Linked DNA regions of Struthio camelus. The protein of the gene in region 1 purifies or fractionates together with the protein of each later gene. This does not show direct contact. Links are inferred from orthologs where the notes say so. Each region holds a gene or a part of one and is shown on either strand. Other genes may lie near its edges.

Region 1 (8,051 bases):
CAGTTCTTCAAGCACTGAGGTATAGTACAGGAACAAGATCTGGGAATTAATACCTTTGTCTGGTAGATTTCTGCAGGTGCCCTAAATCAAACTAGCACTGCAAATATACAGTTTTTATTTATTTATATTGTTTGCTTATATATCTCTAACCTTGCAAAGTCCCATTCTTATGCAATGTTGTCATAACTCCTTCTAGAGTCCTTCGAGTCCAAATCCGCAGGAGCCCCCCACCTCATCTAAATGGACTCATTTATAGAGGAGCCATGATGCAGCGCTACCAATACCTACCTATAACTTTCTGAAAATCTCAGCTTTGCTCTTCCTAAAAGTACTTCCTGTCTCCGTCTCTATTGTTATGTGGAAAAGACTAAATGTGACCAGCATAACACAAAATCTCTAAAAGCAAACTATGCAAAGCCCAAGGAATACGTAGCTTTAGAACCTCATTATTGTTAAACCAGTGTCACCCACTGTCACCAGTACTGATATCATAAGCCAGAATTGCCTTGAGTTTTTCTGCCTGAGATTCTTAATTCTTCCCTTTAGTGTCACCATGCTACTCAGTGTCTCAGATGCTACTTTTCTTTTGCAAGATACACTATTAGTGTCTGAGTGGCACACCATCAAAATCATGTCATTGGTTTTGCTCTGGGTCTGTTCAGGCCTTGGGACAAATATGCTGTACATAAAGTGCATCTCTCTGAAGCATGCAAGAGAGAAATCTTGGAGGTTGTAACACCTTATGCCAATGTTAACGTCTTACAACCATCAAAGAGTCTCCAGCTCCCCTTCATGCAGTGCTCTAGGAAGCGTTTTGCAGAGCATTACACCTACCATTCATCAGCAATAAAAACTGGAGCCTGCCTAAAAGGGAAGGTAAGTGAGTCCAGGTTTTCTCCTCTGTACAGTACTGTTACCTAAAGCCTTTTTTGCAGTATCCTTGGCCCATTGGCTCACAGGACTGAAACCTATCAAGAACAATGAAAAGTTTAGAGAACCGCTTACTGTTAGTGAAGAAAGCTGAGAACCCAGGTTATTTTACCCCAAGGAGTCTGGATTTATTTTTCTTACTGTAAGCGCAAATCCAGCCCTCCCTCTCTGCACGTCAGAGCAGTCGTTTTGAAGGAAGGACTGAGGTATATGTCAGAACTATGTGCAGGATGCTCTAGGCATCTGGGTGGAAACGAAAAAGCAATCCCACTGAAGTGGGAGCCTGCAGACATGGAAGGGGAGGAGGCTGACAGTTCGTGCCCCCCACCCCCAGGCCACTGCTGCTGACCCCGCAGGAGCCAGGCCTCTGGGGCTGTGCGTTGCCTTACCCTAGAGGTAGGCTCCATTCTCCAGGGCAGATGAATGGTATGTGTGGCATCGCCAGCACAGGGCATGCTGGGGCACCACATGGAGGGAAGCTGGCAACTGCATGTAGCTGCTCTTGAAGAACCTGGAAATAAGGGGGAAAAATACAGACTAAAACAACAAAATGCGTGGAAACGGGCTCCTCCTCTGTTTGCACTGGGGTACTTAGCACTCACCCACGCCTAGGACAAATTAGCTACTGTCTCACTGTATTAATAAACCCCTTCGACAGGCATACTTTAAGTTCTCCCTTCCCTCACCAAAAAGTTTTAAAAATCCAAAACCAGTCAGATGCTCCAGGTTTGTAGAGTCGGGATTAAAATTAGACTCAAGCACACAGAAGAAACTGTCCTTTCAACTTCTCCTGGGGATGAAAGTGGCAAAGTCTCAACCTAAACAAAATATTAACATTTCATTATTCCTTCCTAATTGTCTAGTTTATGATTAAAGAAAGCTCAGTGCTTCCAGGGTACTTTACAAACAGCAGGTCCTTTGAGTGGCATGCAGTGCAAAAGAAACCCTGAAGTTAACTCTAAAGCCAAGATTTCCCAGAACAGGTACTTAGCAGCTGGATCCGAAAGCCTACAGTCACGCATCTAAACCAGCGTCCTCATTGTCTGTGTAACCCAGGGAGCTCCTGGCCACATGAGACCACAGGGTGCCTGCCTGGGAGGGTTAACTGGGGCCACTGAGTTAATGAGGATGTGGATTCAGAGCCGAACTTTACGGTTCTCTCGCAACATTTTTCGGGCAGGAGGAGGAAGGGCAGGCTGCGGCTCCGGCTGCAAGGCGTGTGAGCCGGGGCCAGGCCGGGGCCAGGCCGGGGCCAGCCCGCTCCGGACCGCCTGCGCGCCGAGGCTCCGCGCACCGGCCCGGCATCCCCGTCCCTCCCCGCCCCGCTCCTGGCGCTGCTCCGGCAAACTCCTGGGGACACCGCCGCTCCCCGGCGGCGAGCTGCACCCCGGGCTCGTCCCGGCGCAGCCCGCCCGCCTCCCCTGCCACCGGGGCCGGGATGCGGTCGCTTCCTTTGCCCGGCGCCCCTGGAGGGAGCCCCCCGGCCGCCCCTCCGCCGGCCCCAGCAGGGCCTACCCAGGAGGGGCTGCCGTGCCGCCCCCCGCCCCCGGGCCGCCACGCCTGCCCCCAAGCACTCACCATATTACAGATGGAGGCGATGTTTCTGACAGTCATTAGTCTAAAGGTTGCAGCGATCCCACACCGCCATCTTTATAAGGTGAAACCAGCCCCGCTCATGGTGGGAAGAGCGCAGGAAGGGAGAGGGGGCGGCGGAGGAGGCTTCTGCTCCGGGGCTGGGATAAAAGCGAGAGGAGGGGACTGCACAGGCACCCTAGGCGCCCGCAGAGCAGCCTGGAGGAAGGACCTGCCTGCCTCCCCTCCGGCCGAGCGACCGGCAGCTTCAGCAGCGCGGCAAGAGCAGCCGCATCTCTGCTCCTTCCGCCTCTCCCTCTGCACGGTCCGCAGGGCCGCGGGCTCCCGCTGGAGCGCTCAGCCGCGCCTCTGCGCCAGCCGGCACCGCGCTAATCTCTCCCTTCCTCCTCCTCCTCCTCCTCGCCTGGCGGCTGCCGTTGCTGCTCGTCGCTCCATTGCAGCGCAGCGCCCAGCGATCCGCTCTGCCAGCGCCAGCGAAGGGACGGGAAGGGACGGCCGGCGGTGACCGGCCGGGGCGCCCCGCGGGCCCGGCCGCCGCCGCAGCCAATGCGCTGCGGGGAGGAGAGGGGCGCGGGGGCCGCTCCTGCCGCCCCGCACGGCCCGTCGAGGGGCCGGGCCCTGCTGCCGGCGTGCTGCCGCGGGGGCACCGGGGCAACGCTAACCGCCAGGCCTAGAAGGGCCGGGGAACTGCAAAACCCAGATCTCTTTAAATATATGAAATCATATTTGCAAGAAGGAGCAGAAGGCAGGGTCCAGGCAGGAACACATGGATGTTTAAGGGTGGTAGCAGCACTGTACCTTGGGATGTGCTCCCTCCACCTAACTTTAGGTACGCAGGAGCCTGGGCACTTCTAAATCCCAGAACTGAAGGCAGGAATCTAACTTACTGCCTACAGCTGGTGCTTTGCTTTGCGATTTATGCAGACATTTACTTTCACAAATGTTGTTTAGGGAACATGACCCCCCACATCATGATACATACTAGAGCCCAAGTGCTCACTCACAAGCTCACAATGCCTGGAACATATACAACACCCTTAATGCATTAATCTCAGTTCATCTTCAAAACACTCAAGTAAATTGAGGTCCATGCCATTCTGCAAGGTATGAGTATATTAAAACTGCACATGCAATAATCTGCACATGTGGTAAACAAGGATGTTAAATAGCTAACTCTTGTCTTAACAACAAATCTCTGAGAGAAACAAGAACAGAGTTCAGCTAGGACAATGTCTCATCTTGGAATTCCTCTCTGCTTGAGCGGAGATTGTTGTTATCAGCAGAAACTTAAGAACACTGTATTTTCATCTCCTATGCTGAGGAAATCATCCAGATGAAGAGAGAGAAGAACTGCCAACATCTAGGGATCTAGGAGATGGGCATGCCTCCTCCTAACAACACCTGGAAATATGGCATACTCATGCTTGGCTACACTTTTCACCTCACAATGCTAGAATATACACATTTTGGTCTATAGAGCCCGGCCCCACATGTTAATTACAGAAAACATTCCAAAGTCACTAAAGTTTTTGAGACCCTGGATTGCAAGAGAAGGCCTCTGACTGTTAATGAAAATCTATCACCAGCCAGCAACATCTGAAAGATGAATTCTTAGCCCGAGAATACTGTTAGATAGCTGGCCTCAGTCCAGTTCATCATGGACAAGTGCCCACATTACAAAAATGATATCAGTTTGGCATTAGTTGGCATCCTGTTGACAGTTTCAGCAAAGAAACCCAGAACTGAGTTGTTATGGAGACACAACTTTCTTTCCTCAGTAACTGGAAGACAATATGGAGGAACCTGTACTTCTAACACCTCTCTTGAAGATTTGTTGTAGGCAATGGACTGAAGTCATAAGGTCTATTAAACTATTTCACTGCGAAGCATTTGCTCCCTAAATCTACAAATTTGCTACATAAAAGAATTATCAAATAAAGTAACAGTGAGAAAAAAAACCCATCCTTTGTGTTACTCTATTATGCTCATGGTCTTATGCTGCTTATGAATTTGACCCCAAGTGTTTAACCTGCTTAAACTCCAAGGGCTGTTTATGAGTAGTATCACAAGTCTTTTTGAAACAACCAAGAGAAATGGGAATTAAAACAGAGATGTCATTTCAGGACTGGCCACCCCCAGGCTCAATTCTGAAGCAATCAAGGCCTGAATCAGTCTCCAGTGCATTTCAGAACAGCCTATGGAGACAGACAATGCTGCACCATGGCTATTTTTTTAAAAAAATCCCTTTTATTCAGGTAGCCTAATTCTGTATTCTTTGCTGCACCCCATTTATTCCAATTTACTGCAAGGAATCACACTTGTCTCAGTGAAAAAAATTACAAAGCAAATGAATGGTTTTGAAGGGTGATTAAAAACTGAAAAGAAACAAAATGCGGTAACTAATAAAGCCATTTACTTCAAGTATATTCTAATGTGAAGGATATTATTCCCAGAGCATAAAACACAAAGAAAACACAACAAGAAGGAGCATAAAAAAGTTTAAAAAAGGTAAGCAGCATTTTCATGCTTTTGCTTTCTTGCGGATCCCAATTACCTGACTTCAGGATAACTTCAGATGTTTGTTAAACATTTCTGTTAAATTAAACAAATTGCTATTAGTTGAGCAAGTTATTGATTGTCCAAGGAAATGGCCATTGTTGGAAATAGGCATATTTCGAAATATAAAGCATATACATATATATGTACACACACATATATAGATGCATATAGATATACACGCATGCACATATCATCCTCAGAAGATTTCAATGTCATTTTCCTAAAGCTTATATAGAGTCTTTCATTTAAGGGTATACATATTTCATATCTTCTTTTGGAGGATTTATGATAAAAATAGGAAATAATACACAAGTGTTTATATGCCAGTTTAACAATAAGTTTAGCACTGACTTTTTCTGCTCTTCAGTCACAGATCAAACTAGGAAATAGAAAAGTAACTTTCATACTTGAAATGGGTTGGTGTGTGTTTTGTTTTTTTCTGGTGTTGTCATTTTCAGAACTAGAAACTTTATTTCTGTAGCTTTTTGAAGATAAAGTGCTAAGAAAAGCAACTAATGCTAGTTCCTAACATTATAGGAACTGTACAAATAAAGAACAATGAATAATTGTTTCCACTCCAAAGTATTACCCTATCTCTTCATAACAAAGAGCTAACCCTGTGTTTCTTTTCAATGTTAAACAAAGAGGAGGAAAACAAAGAGCTATTTATAACCTAAGAATGCTTATATAATTTCTGTTGAAAGGTCAAAAAATGTCTCCCGCATTTACTTTTAGAAGTAAATCAGTTTTGGTCATCTGGTTATATCCTTTAACACTTTTATTTCACTACATAAAACAAGCACCTATGGTAAATATCCTCTTTGGCTAACCGTGCTTTGGACTTTAATAATGTATTCCCTCTGAAGTTCTGAGAGTACTTTGCAATCATTCACTCAGCCTTGTCAAATTCCTGGGTGGCAAGTTAATATTAGCCTATTTTACAAAACAAGAAAATAAGCAGCAGAAGTGCAGTGACTTGTCCAAAGTTACACAGGAAAGTTAGTAGCAAAACTGGGATTAGAATACATGCTTACTCTGTAATACAAAGAGGGTACTATGCTTCCTCTTCAGAAATCTTAGAGAATTCCACAGAGGATTCATTTACATTTTTATTGTAATAAACTATGGTCCAGAAACAGGTGACCATCAGTAAATTATGCTAAGCAGTGCTTGAAACAGACTCAAATTCAGGATATATTTTCAGGTTTAAAAAAAGCTGAAGTGGCTTTAATGGTAAGAGCAATTAAAACAATACTCAGAAGCTTTTTGGAGGGGGTGGGGGATTTGGAGGATACATAGTAAGAATGGAAAAAGAACTCAAATACCTGAATTACATTATCAGTACTGAAAGTATGCTTACAATTTTAGAAACTTTTAATATTTTGAATATCACATTATTTATGTTCAATAAAAATTATCAGTATGTCTTTGTTAGGATGAAAAATACGCAGATGATGCAAGCAGAAAGACTAAGAACAGATACATAGCATAGAACACTGAGGCTACAATTTCTAAATTTTATTTCAGTTGAGGAGAGGAAACTTTAGCAACACATACTCTTCTTAAAGTGTAGAATTTTTATTTTTGAAACAGAAAGGTATCCGGTATTCCTGCAAACTAATACAATCAAATTATATGCTATATAAATACTGGGCCAAATCTATTTGGCCTTACTCTATCTGCATAACACTATTTCCATTTTCAGTATAGTCCACCATTAATTTCAGCAGAGAAATAGTCCTGAAATCAGCTCTCAGGACCCTGCTCTTAGTTCTCCCAAAGTAATACCAACTCTGATAAGTAGAGACTATTTAAAAGTTAAACAATTGTGCTTTCCTATGGAAAAAGCCAGGAAGCAGAGAAGACAGTAGTAAATCCTGTGCTAATCCCTTTCTGATTTTACCAGTGGATATTTTCCATGAAGCTTGGCCTCCATTGCAGCACTGCAGATTGGGAGCTTTACTACAATGCCAGTTCCCAATTTGTAGTCCATGCAGAGAGGCCATAATACATGGGTTGTAGTAGGTCCATGGAACCCACTGTACTTACATTTAAAAATCTAATGGTAAGAGTGGATTGTAGTCCATGACAAATTGATGGTGATCCACAAAAAAAAAAAAAAACCCACAAACAAACGTGGGGGGTTTACTGGGGACTCCCTAGTCCTCCCAGAAATGTAGAATCACTAATCTTCTTTAGGATGGTATCAGCTTTGCACCAGCATCTACCCCTCTTTTTCAAACGATCTAAAAAGTTATTTTTCTTGATTTAAAACATGTTTATGCTTTTTCTTCACCTTTACAATCTTAGCAAGTCATACTCCCGCTTACTGAATATGAAGCACAGAGGATGAAACTTTGCATTAAATTCATGCCTGTATCTACCCTAGCTTTGTTGATACAGACATTATTCTAGTAGGTGGAGAAAGAATACTGTCTTTTATTTTTCTTCTTCTCAGAAATTGCTATTTTAAAGAAAGAAAACAAAATACAGTTATAGCATCCGACTTTTTTTATAGTTAAATGTCAGATTTGAACACCAAAAGACAGCAGAACAAAGTAGATGTAAATATATTGATGTCTAATACTCCAAAAGCTGGCTGAATAGATAAAAGAGATTAATAGTTTTGTGTTTGTAACCATTAAACAGTTCATTCTATGAACAGGCTCTTTAGGCCTTTACAGGCAATTTGATGTTCAATAATGACCTAGAGGTGTGATTATCTCACAACGTCTTACTCCTGCTTTTTTCCTCCTACTTGATCATGTTTCATAAAATTGCATTCCCGATATAAATTAGGAGCTTTGACAACAACAGCTTAATATTGGGCTACAGCTTCATTGATTTACCTAATACTGACCTTTACTGACACACTGCTCAGCTGAAAATTCTCCCTCATTTCCATAAGGTAGAAGCTTGCAGCCTCTTTATTATCTGGTACCTTGTTTAGCAAGGAAGTTCACTTGTGA
Region 2 (6,906 bases), on another chromosome or scaffold:
CGCCCCGGGGACCTGTGGGGTTGGCGTGAGCGGCTCCCGGCGCGCCTTGGGAGCCGCGGGGTTGGCGTGAGCGGCTCCCGGCGCGCCCCTGGGCCCCGCGGGGTTGGCGTGAGCGGCTCCCGGCGCGCCCCGGGGATCTCTGGGGTTGGCGTGAGCGGCTCCCGGCGCGCCCCGGGGATCTCTGGGGTTGGCGTGAGCGGCTCCCGGCGCGCCCCTGGGCCCCGCGGGGTTGGCGTGAGCGGCTCCCGGCGCGCCCCGGGGCCCCGCGGGGTTGGCGTGAGCGGCTCCCGGCGCGCCCCGGGGATCTCTGGGGTTGGCGTGAGCGGCTCCCGGCGCGCCCCGGGGATCTCTGGGGTTGGCGTGAGCGGCTCCCGGCGCGCCCCGGGGCCCCGCGGGGTTGGCGTGAGCGGCTCCCGGCGCGCCCCGGGGATCTCTGGGGTTGGCGTGAGCGGCTCCCGGCGCGCCCCGGGGCCCTCTGGGGTTGGCGTGAGCGGCTCCCGGCGCGCCCCGGGGCCCCGCGGGGTTGGCGTGAGCGGCTCCCGGCGCGCCCCGGGGATCTCTGGGGTTGGCGTGAGCAGCTCCCGGCGCGCCCCGGGGATCTCTGGGGTTGGCGTGAGCGGCTCCCGGCGCGCCCCGGGGCCCCGCGGGGTTGGCGTGAGCGGCTCCCGGCGCGCCCCGGGGGCCTCTGGGGTTGGCGTGAGCGGCTCCCGGCGCGCCCCTGGGCCCCGCGGGGTTGGCGTGAGCGGCTCCCGGAGCGCCTTGGGGTGCCCCGCTCACCCTGTCCCCCTCTGCCCCCCAGCAAGCCCACGTGCCGCTCTCCACCATGGCCATCCTGGAGGCCAGCACCAAGCAGGAGCCCGAGGCCAAGGACCCGCAGCCTCCCGAGGAGGTGAGCGGGGTGGGGTGCTGCACCCTGGGGTGCTGGGGGGGGGGCACTGTGCACCCCGTGCCCCCCAATGGGGGGTTGGGGTGATGGTAGTGCTGAGGCTGAGGTGGGGGGGGTTAGGGTGTCCTTGAGCATCCCAGTACGTAGGGGCAAGGCGGGGGGGACCAGGGGGCTCTGAGGGGGTCCTGAGCACCCTAATACCGGTCTAGGGGGGGCCTGATCTGAGATGGGGGAGTCTAGGGGGGCCCTGAGCACCCCAATACCCATCTCAGGGGTGTTGGAGCTGGGTGGGGGGGTCCTGAGCACCCCAATACCCATCTAGGGGGGGCCTGATCTGAGGTGGGGGAGTCTAGGGGGGCCCTGAGCACCCCAATACCCATCTCAAGGGTGTTGGAGCTGGGTGGGGGGGCTCTGAGCACCCCAATACCCATCTAGGGGGGGCCTGATCTGAGGTGGGGGAGTCTAGGGGGGCCCTGGGCACCCCAATACTCATCTCAGGGGTGTTGGAGCTGAGTGGGGGGGCCGTGGGTCTCCCAATACCCCTCCCAGGGTGTCAGACCTGAAGTTGGGGTCAGCATGCACCCCTCTGCCCAACCCAGAGCGGAGGTGGGGGGGGGCCCTGAGCCCCCCCATATCGATCTTGGGGTGTCAGAGCCAAGATGGGGTGCCCTGAGGGGGTCTTGGGGACCTCCATATCCACCCCAGGGTGCCAGAGCCAAGGTCAGGGAGACTGGGGGGGGTACTGAGCACCCCCATACCCTGCCCTGGGGCTTTGGGGTGCCGCTGGCTCAAGCACCCCATTTCCCTTCCCCCTGCCCCCCCCCCCACAGGACAAGGGTGCCAAGCGCCCGGGCGAGGAGGAGGCGGCAGCGAAGGGGGCGGCCCCCGGGGGGGGATCGGCGCCGGGGCGCCCACCCCCCCCCAGCGCCGAGGAGCCCCCCGACTTCCGCGACGAGGGGGCCGACCTCGAGCCCCCCCCCATCTTCATCAGCGTGCAGGAGGATGAGGAGAGCTCGGGGGGCGACGGCTCCCTGCTCGACGCCGGCCTCGACCCCTCCCCAGCACCCGCCAAGGTACGGACCCCCCCCCTCCCCCCCAAACCTAGTAGCACCCAGTAGGGTGCTGTTGTTACCCCCTCCCCCCCCACACACCTTTGGGTGTCTCTAATCCCCCCTCGTCTTCTCCAGGAGCCCCCCAAGGGCGCGGAGGTGCCGCAAGCGGGGACCCCCCCAGAGGACGGGGCGGCCGGCAGCCCCTCCGCGGAGCCGCCCCCCCCCGGCACCCAGCCCCCCGACCTCCCAGCCCCCGAGGCACCCCAGGGGGGCCCTGAGGCACCCGAGGGGCCGGCGGAGGGCTGAGCCGGTGGGGGTGGGTGCCGGGGTGAGGGTGCCCCCACCCCGCCACCCCGTGGGGGGGACTTTTCTAAATAAAAGGTGTGAGAGCAGCCCCTCGGCGCCTCGTCTGGTTTTGGGGTGGGGGGCACCCTGAGGTGAGGGATCTGGGGTGCCCCCCGCCCATGGGACACTCTCCCTGTGGCACCCTGAGTGCCCCCCCCCACTTCCCCCCGGGGACCCCCATGGTACCCCCTGGGCCCCCCTTGGCACCTCTGCTTCCCCCATAGCACCCTCAGGGACCCCCACTGCCCCCTGCCCCCCCCCACTACCTTAGAGGTTCCCCCTGCAGCACCCACAAGACCCTCTCCTGACCCCCCCAGGCCCCCCATGGCACCTCTGGCCTCCTCATACCACCCATAGGCCCCCTGGGCCCCCCATGCTGCCCCATGGCACCAACAGCCCCCTCCCCCCAGTTCCCTCTATGGCACTCTGGGCCCCCCCATGGCACCCACAGGACCCCTGAGTCCCCCCATGGCACCTCTGGCCCCCCCATTACCCCCAGCCCCCCATAGCACCCGATAGCCCCTCCATTATCCCCCAGCCCCCCCGGGTCCCACCAAGGCGTCTTTGCCCCCCCCATAGCACCCAATGGCCCCTCTGTTACCCTCCACCCCTCCATGGCACCTCTGCCCCCCCATAGCACCCAATGGCCCCCATTACCCCCCAGCCCCTCCCCCAGTCCCCCCATGTCACCTCTGGCCCCCATAGCACCCAATAGCCCCCATTACCCCCCAGCCCCCCTATAGCACCCAATGGCCCCCCCCATGGCACCTCTGCCCCCCCCATAGCACCCAATGGCCCCCCTCATTACCCCCCAGCCCCCCCATGGCACCTCTGCCCCCCCCCGGGTCCCTCCATGGCACCTCTGTCCCCCCCCCATAGCACCCGAAGGCCCCCCCCATTACCCCCCAGCCCCCCTATAGCACCCAATGGCCCCCCCCATGGCACCTCTGCCCCCCCCATAGCACCCAATGGCCCCCCTCATTACCCCCCAGCCCCCCCATGGCACCTCTGCCCCCCCCCGGGTCCCTCCATGGCACCTCTGTCCCCCCCCATAGCACCCGAAGGCCCCCCCCATTACTCCCCAGCCCCCCCATAGCACCCAATGGCCCCCCCCCCCATTACCCCCCAGCCCTCCCCGAGTCCCCCCACGTCACCTCTGCCCTCCCCGGCCCCACCCCCCCTTTGGCCCCGCCCCCCAGCCAGGTCGCGCCCCGCCCGCAGGGGGCGTGTCCTCTCCTGTCCCCGCCTCCCGCCGGGGGGGCGGGGCTCGCGTGACTCAGCGCGTTGCTAGGGAGGCGGTTGCTAAGGGCGGGGCTCGCTTCCGGCCGGGCGGGCGACGCCTTCCGGCGGGAAGATGGCGGCGGCGGCGGGAGGCCCCGGGGCGGCGGCGGACGGGCCCGCGGCGCTCCCGGCGCAGCCGCACGAGCTCAAGAGCCAGTTCCGCACCCGCGAGGGCTCCTACCGGCTCCTGGCACCGCCGGGACCCGAACCGCGGGCCCGCGCCGGCCCTGCCGCCGCCGCCGCCGCCCCGGGGCCTTCCCCGCCCGCCGCCGCCGTGCCGCCCCCCGGCCCTGCCGCCGCCGCCGCCGCCGCGCCGGGCCCCGCCGCCGCGCTGCCCCCCGTGCGGCTCTCCATGGTGCGGCTCGCCCTGCCCGCCGCCGCCGAGGAGCCGAGCGAGGCCGCCGAGCGGAGCCGCGTCTGCTTCAACCTGGGCCGCGAGCTCTACTTCTACGGGGGCACCGGGCCCGGCGGGCGCGGGAGCCGGCGGGTAACGGCGGGCGGGCGGGCGACGGGGGCACTGCGGGGGGGGTAACGGGGGCCCTTGGGTTTGGGGGGCTCGGTAACGGGGGCCCCGGGGTTTTGGGGGGGGTAACGGGGGCCCTGGGGGGGGTAACGGGGGCCCCTGGGTTTGGGGGGCTCGGTAACAGGGGCCCCGGGGTTTTGGGGGGGGGTAACGGGGGCCCCTGGGTTTGGGGGGCTCGGTAACGGGGGCCCTGGGGGGGGTAACGGGGGCCCCTGGGTTTGGGGGGCTCGGTAACGGGGGCCCCGGGGTTTTGGGGGGGGTAACGGGGGCCCCTGGGTTTGGGGGGCCTGGTAACGGGGGCCCTGGGGTTTTGTGAGGGGGGTAACGGGGGCACTGGGGGGGGTAACGGGGGCCCCTGGGTTTTGGGGGGGGTGACGGGGGCACTGGGTGGGGTAACGGGGGCCCCTGGATTTGGGGGGCTCGGTAACGGGGGCACTGGGGGGGTGACGGGGGCCCCGGGGTTTGGGGGGCTCGGTAACGGGGGCCCTGGTGTTTTGGGGGGGTGTGACGGGGGCCCCGGGGTTTTGTGAGGGGAGTAACGGGGGCACTGGGGGGGGGGGTAACGGGGGCCCTGGGGTTTGGGGGGCTCGGTAACGGGGGCCCCGGGGTTTTGTGAGGGGGGTAACGGGGGCCCTGGGGTTTGGGGGGCTCGGTAACGGGGGCCCTGGGGTTTTGTGAGGGGGGTAACGGGGGCCCTGGGGGGGGTAACGGGGGCCCTGGGGTTTGGGGGGCTCAGTAACGGGTGCCCCGGGGTTCTGTGAGGGGGGTAACGGGGGCACTGGGGTTTTAGGGGGAGGGGGGTAACGGGGGTGGCGGCGGCAGGAGCCGGCAGTTAATGGCAATACTGTGCCCAGCTGGGCTGGGAGCTGGTGGGTAACGGCAGTACCGGGAGGGGACAGGAGATGGGGGGGGGGTAGTAACGGGGCTACCAGGCCTGGGAAGGGGCCGGTAATGGGGCTACCGGGTCCGGCTGGTGTAGTAGCCGGTGAGTAATGGCACCGGGGCCGGTAACGGGGGCACCGGGCTCGGCGGTTGCAGTAGCCGGCTGGTAACAGGGCTGCCAGGGCCAGTGACAGGCAGCGATAGCGGGTGACGAGGAGGACGGGATTCGGGGAAATAAAGTAGCGGACGGACGAGGAGCGGAGCGAACGGGGGATAGCGGGAGCCCCGGGACTGCGACAGGGAACAGGGCACCGGTAAAGCTTGGAGGGGGGGGTGACAGGAGGGGGGAGCGAGCCGGTGACAGGGGGACGGGGGTGATTTTGGGGCTGGGATTCGGCTGGGAAGGGGGACACCCCAGGAGCAAGAGATGGTAACGGGAAAGCAGGAACCTCGGGGCGGATGCGAGCGGAGGGGAGACTGATTTGGGAGCCCAGAATGGGTTCTCCCATTTGCTATGGCGGGGGGGGGAGGATTTTTTTGGGGTGCTGGCACGTTCCTGCTCTCTCCCGAATCGAGGAGACGCTCTCGGAGGGCTGCTCTTTCTGTCAAAGCTTTCGGGCGCCCGCCCCGGGGTGGGGGGTAGGGGGCGGCCCCGGCAGGGCGAGCGGGGCTGCGGTGACAGTGCCATCGCGCCCGCAGTCCCTCGACCTCAACAAGCCCATCGACAAGCGCATTTACAAAGGCACCCAGCCCACCTGCCACGACTTCAACCAATTCACCGCCGCCTCCGACAGCATCTCCCTCCTGGTGGGCTTCTCGGCCGGGCAGGTGCAGTACCTCGACCTCGTCAAGAAGGACACGAGCAAGCTCTTTAACGAGGAGGTGAGACCCCCCCCCCTTTTTTCCCCCACCTCGCGTTAACGGCCAGGCTGCCGCGTGCCTTGGAGGGGACCTAAGTTACGCGGTCCCGTCCTTTCCGCCTCCTTTCCCGGCCCGGAACGGCGTTACGGAGCTGCGGGACACGGACGTCGCTGCCTCAGTCGCTAGCTGGTGTCGCTACGACCTTTTTTTGCGTTGGACAAAGCTATGTTCTCCCTCGGGAGCAGATTCGCTTCCCGCGAAGAGCGATAGCGGGGCCAGGGAGCCGTCAAACATCCAAATTATTTCCTGCGGTTACGGCTGTTTTTCCAGGAAAGGTGCCGAGGGGGACGGACAGACAAACTCTGTCCGCGGTCGCGTGCGGCTTCGTTTCGGGCTGCTCGAGGAGGCTCGGGGCGTGCGTTTGGCGAGGCTCCGGCGTCCCTCCGGAGCCCGGCGCAGCTCCGAGACCCCCTTGAAGAGCGTTCACGGCTCGGCAGGGCGGCAGAGGGCTTCCCCGGCGTGCCCTCCGCGCCTCGGGGCTGACGCGACGCAGCCGGGATGATCCAGAGGGAGGGAAGGTGGGGGGGGGGGGGGGGGGGGAAAAACCCACCTCGCGAGAAGCCGCCGACCGCGATTCCCTCCCCGTGCTGTGCCCCCCGCTCTGCCCCCAGCGACTCATCGACAAGACGAAAGTCACCTTCCTCAAGTGGATCCCGGAGACGGAGAGCCTCTTCCTGGCCTCGCACGCCAGCGGCCACCTCTACCTGTACAACGTGGAGCACCCCTGCGGCTCGGCGCCCCCCCAGTACAGCCTGCTCAAGCAGGGCGAGGGCTTCAGCGTCTTCGCCTGCAAGAGCAAGAGCGCCCGCAACCCGCTGGTGAAGTGGGCGGTGGGCGAGGGCGCCCTCAACGAGTTCGCCTTCTCGCCCGACGGCCGCTACCTGGCCTGCGTCAGCCAGGACGGCTGCCTCCGCGTCTTCCACTTCGACTCCATGCTGCTGCAGGGCATGATGAAGAGCTATTTCGGGGGGCTGCTGTGCGTCTGCTGGAGCCCCGACGGGCGCTACGTGGTGACG
Region 3 (7,515 bases), on another chromosome or scaffold:
CTTGTTATTTCAACTGCAGTTGTGTTTATTCATCACCCCACTAGCTCAAACTCCTTAGCATCACAAACTGAGCATGTGGAATCTAGACTAATGAGCTCTGAGGGTGTCCCAGATATGATACTGAGCTAATGGAAAGTCTGTGCCTTAGTTCCTGAAAGCCCCATGAGCTCCCTCATTCTCCTCAGAGATTTGCATGTGGTCACTTGTACTGAAGACTGTACTCAGTCTCTGTTCCTTTTTGTCAAGAGCATCACTGCTACAGTAGGATTAGATGAGGGGGAAAAAGAAGTAAATGGTCTCTCTCCTGGCCAACTTGTTGCAGCATAGTTGGGAGCAGAGTATCTTGTCCCTCTTGTTGCACTTGTTTTCTGTCTGCTAGAGCAGGTGAATTTTGTAGTTGGTCTGGTAAGCTTTTTGCGGATAAGTTCCTCTTCTGTTCTTGGCTTCTCCAACCACCTTTGTGCAGAAGTGTGTGTTGTGAGGTTATTCTGCCTGTCATATTTCTGAGTCAGGCTAAAGGAGATGGTGCATGTACCTGAAGGGTATTCTGCTTGAAGCCGTCCCTTGGCTTTGAAGTACTCCCTTGTGGCGGCTGAACATTCCTGTTGTCCTTGGAACTCTTTCCCTTTCTCTTGCTAAGGGATAGGGTGCTAACGTTATCCCAAAATGAAGGCTGGGTTTCACACTTTCCCCTATCTTCAATGCCAGATCCCTTTGCTTGCTCCTTGACCCTTGGTACATCTCTTAGCCTCTGTGCTGCTTCTTTGTTTTGTCGCTGGAGAGTACTCGCTTGTCCACCTCGTGAAGCGCTCTGAGGACAGAGTGCGTTCAGTCTTTATTCCACCAGCAGAATGCAAGAGTTTTTATCAGTCTGCTCAACCTGCTCCTTGCTTTAAGGTAAGGGGGACATACAGGGAGCAAGATACAGACTTCATGGCTAATCTTATTTATATCTGCATTGGAGACTTTTTAGCTGGGAGAGGTTGAATGTTTTTTTTCAAGTGAATGTATTGTCTTTTGAGCCAAGAGATGGCAAAAAGATTAGTGGCCATATTGGACCTGAAGGGGGAGGAGACATGGGAAGGTCTTAAGATTTGACTTTGTCCAGCTTTGGAAGGGACAAAATATGGCCTTGAACAACTTTTTGAAGCAATAGCAGTGAGGGGGCTGCCACCTATACAGGACCATGGATCTTTAACTCAGAAGATGCTGAAACAGCTGGCACAGGTGCTTCAGTCCCTTCCCCAGGGCTGGTACTGGCTGCAAGATGGAGCAGCAAAGATGGCTTTTTTTAGACCTGCTGGTGCGCTTTCTATGTGTTCATTTTCTACTTGGGGGCTGTGAGGGAAGAAGCTATGGGACTGCTTCCCTCTGTGAACTTTCACTCTATTCCTGTATAGTCCTTTTTCTTTCCTGACGTTGTAATTTGCATTTTACATGAATCCCCATCCCACCTCCTTCACAGTATATTTAAAAAATAAAAAAATTAAAAAAAAATGAACATGCCATTGGAGCAGGGAGCCTGGTGGTGTTCTAACTTCTGCAGACTTATTTTTGAGATGTGAAAAATTTAAATAATTGCTAAGTCTTAGGTGAGTGAGGAGCATAACGGATGTAAACATTTACATGGGATGCATTAGACTTCTGCTGTGTGTATTGTCTTTTGGTTGAAACAAATTACGAAGTGACTAACAATAAAATGAGTCAATATTCAATGATTTAAAAGCTGTGCCTTGTTGCTTTTTGCAAGTACAGGGGGATAGGCCTTTTTTGTTCTTACAGTTGGCCATAACAAGGTCGGACAATGTGAAATAATAAGCAAGAAGGTAGTGCAGATTTTTCAAAGTTTTCTGGGAAGCTTAAAGAGCAAAATGAGTGCTGACAATTATGAAAAATTATTAAACAAGTGATGTGAAATATCCTTCTAAAAGAGAGCTTGTCAGCTAGAGGCAGCAATACACGTCCAGGTGCTAGAAAGATGTGATGAGAATTGAACATAAGAAAAACTTTCCTGTATCTGCAGCCTGTCCTTGGAGTTGATTCCCTCACTAATTAAAAAGCCTCTTTTCATATTCTGTATGCCTCTAGGATGAAGACTGCTGTAATCCCATTATCCATTAAAGCAATATAAGTGCCTGCTCTGAGTTCTTCCGTGTTTTCTAGTTGCAGTAACATTGCATTAGACAATCTTCTCGTGTGCGCTCCGGCACACAATTGCACTTCCTTCTGCAAAATGTGATAGCCTCTGTATTGCCATGTGTCCATCCTTTATGGAAATTCTCTTGAGGCAAAATAGTTACAGAACTATTGCTATACTATTGCTATAATGCTGTAGCTAAAATCCATTATAATTCTACCTTTCTGTAGGGAAAGCTCCGTGAAAAATGGATTTGATTTTTTTTCCCCCCAAGCTTTTCAGCTTATTTATGTAGTATGGAGGTGTTAAGAACTAGATGGCCTTTTCTGTGACTGCCTTGGCTAATGACATGAATTAATAAAAAGTGGCTAGGACTGCACTTAACTACAGTGATGGGATGAGTTGTCTGTCAGTTCCATATTCCTCCAGATACTCACCTGAGCATTTAGATATGGTATCTAAAACTGCCAGTTTGCATGGCATCAAGAAGTCACTCGTCACAGGTCCTAGTTCTGGAGCGGGACAGATTGTTCAGAAGCATTTCCTTGTCATTCCTTCCATCAGGACAATGCTGACCCAGTTATCCCTGTGAGTCTAGCCTTAGCCCTGAAAATACTGCACGGGCAGTGCTGTGCACTTTCAGAGTGTACGCAACACATACGCCTGCAATCCTGATTCTTTGACAGCCCAGGAAGATGGCAGGAACTTTTTAAAGGAAATGTATTAGAACTAAGAGAGCGTTTGGCACAGTAATAATGCCAGTAGGGACACATAATTTGGAAAGCACATCTGGAGTTAACTCTGAAATTAGACCGGAAGTCAATGTATCGGGAAAGAATTGTGATGATGACTTAAGATTGAGCCCAGATGCTCTCTTGAGAGCGGACTTGTCGTGAGGGTGTTTGACTTGTGTCTTTGTTAAAGTTTGGAAACACTGGTGATTATGGAGAAGGCAGGAGGCTTTTGTTACCTTGTTTTTTAAATGCTTGACCTTGTGCGGGAATGAACAATACCCGCCTCAAAGCATTCTTTTCAGTCTGCTAAAACAGCATAGCAGTGAAAATTAGCATGTAATAGTTAAGACTGCCTGGTGCTGATGTGATGGACAGCAATTGCAGGAAGAAGATTTTCAGATGCTCTGCTATGTAACTTCAGCCATGGGAGGCAGGAACACGGGTTTTGCTATTGCTTGTCTGAGTAAGGCTTCATCCACTTAGATGTGAAACTTTGAGTGACTGGTAACAGACACTTGGGAGGTGAGCACCCAAAATCTTGTGATAGACGGTTCTACAAAATACAGGTAAGCTTTTATCTTCTTTCCTTACCTGGTTCGTAAGTAATTCCTACCTCTTTCCCTTCTTAAGAAATAGCTGTATAACTTGCATTAGCGAAATTGCAAAAATATCCCGAGCAAGTTATTTTTGGTCGGCTAATGTCACAGTCCTCATGTGCTGACTTTACAAATTTTTCTGGAATGTCTCCAGTTTAATGCTAATTTTGAAATACAGAAGATACCTGCTTTAATTCCAGGCAATTAAAATAATGGAAAATCCGAATCTATAATCTTAGTGAAAAATTCTAGGGTCACAGTTTGGTTGTTGAATGATTCTTAATACATTAATTTGTGTGTTTTAGCTGTGTTAAATGGAGTAAAAATGGACACTTGCTAAGCTTCGAAGCCTATTCTGAATTATTCTGGGGGTCTTGATCGGTTTTTGGCCTTTTGAACGTCAGTGCCCCGGGAAGGGGGGGACGGAAGGAAGTGCTGAGGCCGGGAGAGGAGGGGGGAGAACGAGAAGGGGCCGGCGACGCTGTCGGAAACCTTCGCTCTTGGTGCAGCGCGGGGTGCTGCGAGCGCCCCCCCCCCCCGTCCGGTCCCGCTCCCCCCCCCTCCCCCGGTCCGGTCCGGTCTGGTCCGGTCCGGCCCGGTCCGGTTCCGCCCCCCCTCCCCCCCCCGGTCCGGTCCGGTCCGGCCCGGTCCGGTTCCGCTCCCCCCCCCCCCGGTCCGGCCCGGTCCGGTCCCGCTCCCCCCCCACCCCCGGTCCGGTCCGGTTCCGGCTCCCCCACCCCCGGTCCGGTCCGGTCCGGTCCGGTTCGATCCGGTCCGGTCCCGCTCCCCTCCCCCTCGCGGTGCGGTGCGGTCCCCCCTCGTCTGGTTCCGCCGCCCTCCCGGTCCGGCCCCCCCCCCCCCCCCGCGGCGGGGCGGGACGGGGCGACGGAAGCCCGCGTGCTTCCGGGGCGGGGCCTGCGCGGGGCCGGTCCGCCGCCGCCGCCGCCGGCCGAGGTCTCGCCGTCCGGCCAGTGATGGGGGAGGCCGGGCCGGGGCCGGGGCCCAGGGCGCCGCCGGAGCCCGAGGAGGCGGCGGCGGCGGCGCCTGGCGGCGCGCGAGGAGGGGGCCGGGCGGGGCCCCGCGGCGGCATCCGGGTGCTGAAGGTGGGGCCGGGGCCGGGACCCTCCGGCGGCCGCCCCCGCCGCGCCGCCCTTGGCGGCAGCCGGGCGAGGCCGGGGGTCGGGTGGGGGCCGGGCCGGGCCGGGCCGGGCCGGGGGGGCGGCGGCGCTGCCCGTCTCGACCTTGCCGGGCCGGGCCGGGCCGGGGGGGGCGGCGGCGGCCTGCAGCCCCGCCTGGCTGCGAGCGCGGCCGGGCGGAGGGGGCGGCGGGGCCCCCCGGCGGGTCCGGGGCGGCACGCCTGCCGGAGGGGGAGAGCAGCCGAGGTAGCACCTAACGGTCTTGTTTTGCTCCCTTGGCAGAGAAACGTGAAGCGCAATGGGAGCAGAAGCTGCTTGAACAGGAGTCGGTTTGGTTCCCGTGAGAGGGACTGGCTGAGAGAGGACGTTGGACGAGGCTGCGTATACGTTTATGGAGGAGATTCTGCAGTTACTGCTTCCTCTGACTTGCGCTTGGTCCTTTGTACGGTGGACACCCCGGTATCTGAGATATGCGATGGAGAAGAGAGGGAAAACCTCTTTCTGCAGCTTCATGGAGACCTGGTCAGGTGAGGGCTGAGGAAGCATAGCTCTGCTTTGAGGAATATGTGCTGTAACATGCAGGGCTCTCTGCTTGTTGTATGCCTACATATGTCATCAGGGTTGATATGGAACAGACAGAGGTGGCCCAGAGTACTGCAGTTCATAAAGCAAGGTCGTGGTGAGCCTTTTGCACATCTTAGTCAAGCCATAGGTATTTTAGCTGGGAGGGGCTGACTGGCTCTCCAACCAGAAATAGATCCGTATTTTGTAGGTAGAGGTTACTGTTCATGTACTTCTTTATTATCGTTTGTCTTAGTGCTGTTTTAAAATCAATAAAACGTAAGCCGGTTAAGAGGCTGTAAGCGATTATTCTGAGTCAGTAAAACAGGTATAGTACTTTGACAGTTATGTCTAATAATGTTTATATGTTAGTAATTTTTTGGCTAAAAATATCTTCTTAAAATGAATTGCAAGGTAAATAACAATTAAAAGTAGACACAGAGGTAGCATAAGGGTTATATAAAGAAAGCTTATGCTTCAGGTCATGCATTTTATGTCTGCAGGTTGAAAATAGACCTTGGCATAGGGTTTAATGTGTGCGAACTTTATGCTGAGTGTATTATGGACTCCTCTAGGTTTACAAGCACCCATTAGGGATGTTAGAATTTAGACTTTGCATTGATTCTTCTGGACTTAAAATTCAGTTATAAAGTTGCTGCTCCTCTTTCCTCACAAAAAAAATGCACTATGATCCTGTTACTAAAGACTAGGCGGTAGAGATTGACATCACGAGCTGAACAGGAGCAGTATCTGGCTTCCAGAAATTGAAATGAAAATCGTATGTTGTACGGGTCCAAGGATAGAAAACATATCACGTATGTTTGATCAGATAGGGGGGGTGCGAGAGGCAAGAGATGTGGAGAATAGGATGCAATTAAAACTGACCGTTGAAAATGGTATTTAGACCTGTTTGTCTTGTCGTGTCTGGGTTATAGGAAACGGAGATAGGTCAGTTAGAAAGCCGTTAGATGAGGATAGACAGACACTTGAGTGGAGCCATGGAGGCAGCTGAAAATCTCCATTCATTGACTGAAGTATTTATAAGGAAATTAGCTTGCTCTGTACCATTGCAGAGAATAGAGAGAGCATTTAGAAGAAAGCATTGACCCCTTACTGCCGATCGCAGGAAGACTGGCTGAATGTATATCTCTCTTTTTGCGCTAGATAGCAGTGCCTGTCTTTGATTTGTGGCCAGCTTTGCACTGGATTGACAAATTGGTCCTGCCACCAATGTTCTGGAAGCAAACACCAAGTTGTAAACCTGGTTAATTCCCACTCGTAAACTTGTTGCTTCATGGTGCGTCTAGCAATTTGTCAAGCTTTATCTTGAGTTTGATGGAGAGTTTTTGATTCTTGCATGTCTGTTGCCTTTGTAATTCTCAGAATATATTTGCCACAAGAGGGATCCCTAAATTACTTCCCGTTTGAGGTGTTCTCAGTAGACAAATGGGAGTTACCAGTGTTGCTTCAATCTCTGTTGATAACCGGAAGCATGCCCAAATGGTACCTGCTTGCATTTCCACAGGAAGATGACAAAATGCTCAAGGTATCCTCATGCTCTGCTGAGATAATTCCTTCCTTGCACAAAGTTTGCTGATTACTTTAATAACGTGTTTGTGAATACAGATTGCTCAATCAAGCATCTGATTGCATTTTTCCATGAGTGTGTTAGTCTCCCAAATAGCTTCTGAATTCTCCACCCTTTTAATCTCAGTAGGTGACTTTCTGTCAAAACCTGAGTATGGCAAAGGATCATATGGTGTGGTACCTGACTGAATGCTACCTGGACAGCAAATGGAAGAATAACAGAAAACTTCTTCTTCATGTATTTGCTTTAAATATTCAGTAGTGTCCTTGTGATCTTTCTGCAGTTCCCTTCTAAGTATGTATGCAGTGGAGTCGGTTTCTGACAGAATTTTGTCTTATTCTTCACAGTGCAAGTCAAGGATCTTCAAGGTTTTCCTTGCTAGAATCTTTCTGTTAGCATCCTTTCCTATTCAAAAATATCCCTTCCTGCAGAGGGGAGGATTAGACAAAAATAGCATGGATACCTTCTTTGGTCTGGATACCCATCGCTACAAAACTTCTACTTAAGAAGGTTTGAAAACTGATTGTTACCAGTGAAGAAGAGCTACACGTGCAGTGGGAATTGTGAAATTGTTGCTGCTTCGTTTTGGCTTTGCTTCTGTCTTCTTACCACTTGCACGTTTGCCTAACAGAGCTGCCTCTCCCACTCAGTGGAAGCGGCCAGTATGCGATACGGATGCGGGTATAATGGGTTGTTTGTATCAAGTAGCAGCTGCTGTGACTGCCATGGTGCCAAGTATTCTAGCGTCTAGCGCGTATTCACA

Evidence for each region.
Region 2: the proteins of USP46 (region 1) and DMWD purify together in Homo sapiens (affinity purification with mass spectrometry; 5 studies listed by BioGRID and IntAct, counting the BioPlex papers as one, with this or other methods). This does not show direct contact. The link is inferred for Struthio camelus from reciprocal best matches to the Homo sapiens genes USP46 and DMWD.
Region 3: the proteins of USP46 (region 1) and PHLPP2 purify together in Homo sapiens (affinity purification with mass spectrometry; 4 studies listed by BioGRID and IntAct, counting the BioPlex papers as one, with this or other methods). This does not show direct contact. The link is inferred for Struthio camelus from reciprocal best matches to the Homo sapiens genes USP46 and PHLPP2.

Annotation. Positions count from the first base shown.
Region 1 is NC_090945.1:57,620,172-57,628,222, reverse strand, and holds the start of USP46 (ubiquitin carboxyl-terminal hydrolase 46), read right to left. Parts: upstream 3,087-8,051; 5' UTR 2,545-3,086; coding exon of another isoform or gene 2,509-2,544; intron 1,442-2,508; 5' UTR 1,401-1,441; coding exon 1,320-1,400; intron 1-1,319. UniProt on the Homo sapiens protein: Deubiquitinating enzyme that plays a role in behavior, possibly by regulating GABA action. May act by mediating the deubiquitination of GAD1/GAD67.
Region 2 is NC_090957.1:1,761,305-1,768,210, forward strand, and holds the start of DMWD (dystrophia myotonica WD repeat-containing protein), read left to right. Parts: upstream 1-3,872; 5' UTR 3,873-3,916; coding exon 3,917-4,051; intron 4,052-5,668; coding exon 5,669-5,851; intron 5,852-6,501; coding exon 6,502-6,906. Other genes in the region: SYMPK (symplekin), read left to right, coding at 800-889, 1,717-1,959, 2,074-2,244. UniProt on the Homo sapiens protein: Regulator of the deubiquitinating USP12/DMWD/WDR48 complex. Functions as a cofactor that promotes USP12 enzymatic activity.
Region 3 is NC_090951.1:392,181-399,695, reverse strand, and holds the start of PHLPP2 (PH domain leucine-rich repeat-containing protein phosphatase 2), read left to right. Parts: upstream 1-4,441; coding exon 4,442-4,570; intron 4,571-4,885; coding exon 4,886-5,130; intron 5,131-6,547; exon of another isoform or gene 6,548-6,693; coding exon of another isoform or gene 6,694-6,710; intron 6,711-7,515. UniProt on the Homo sapiens protein: Protein phosphatase involved in regulation of Akt and PKC signaling.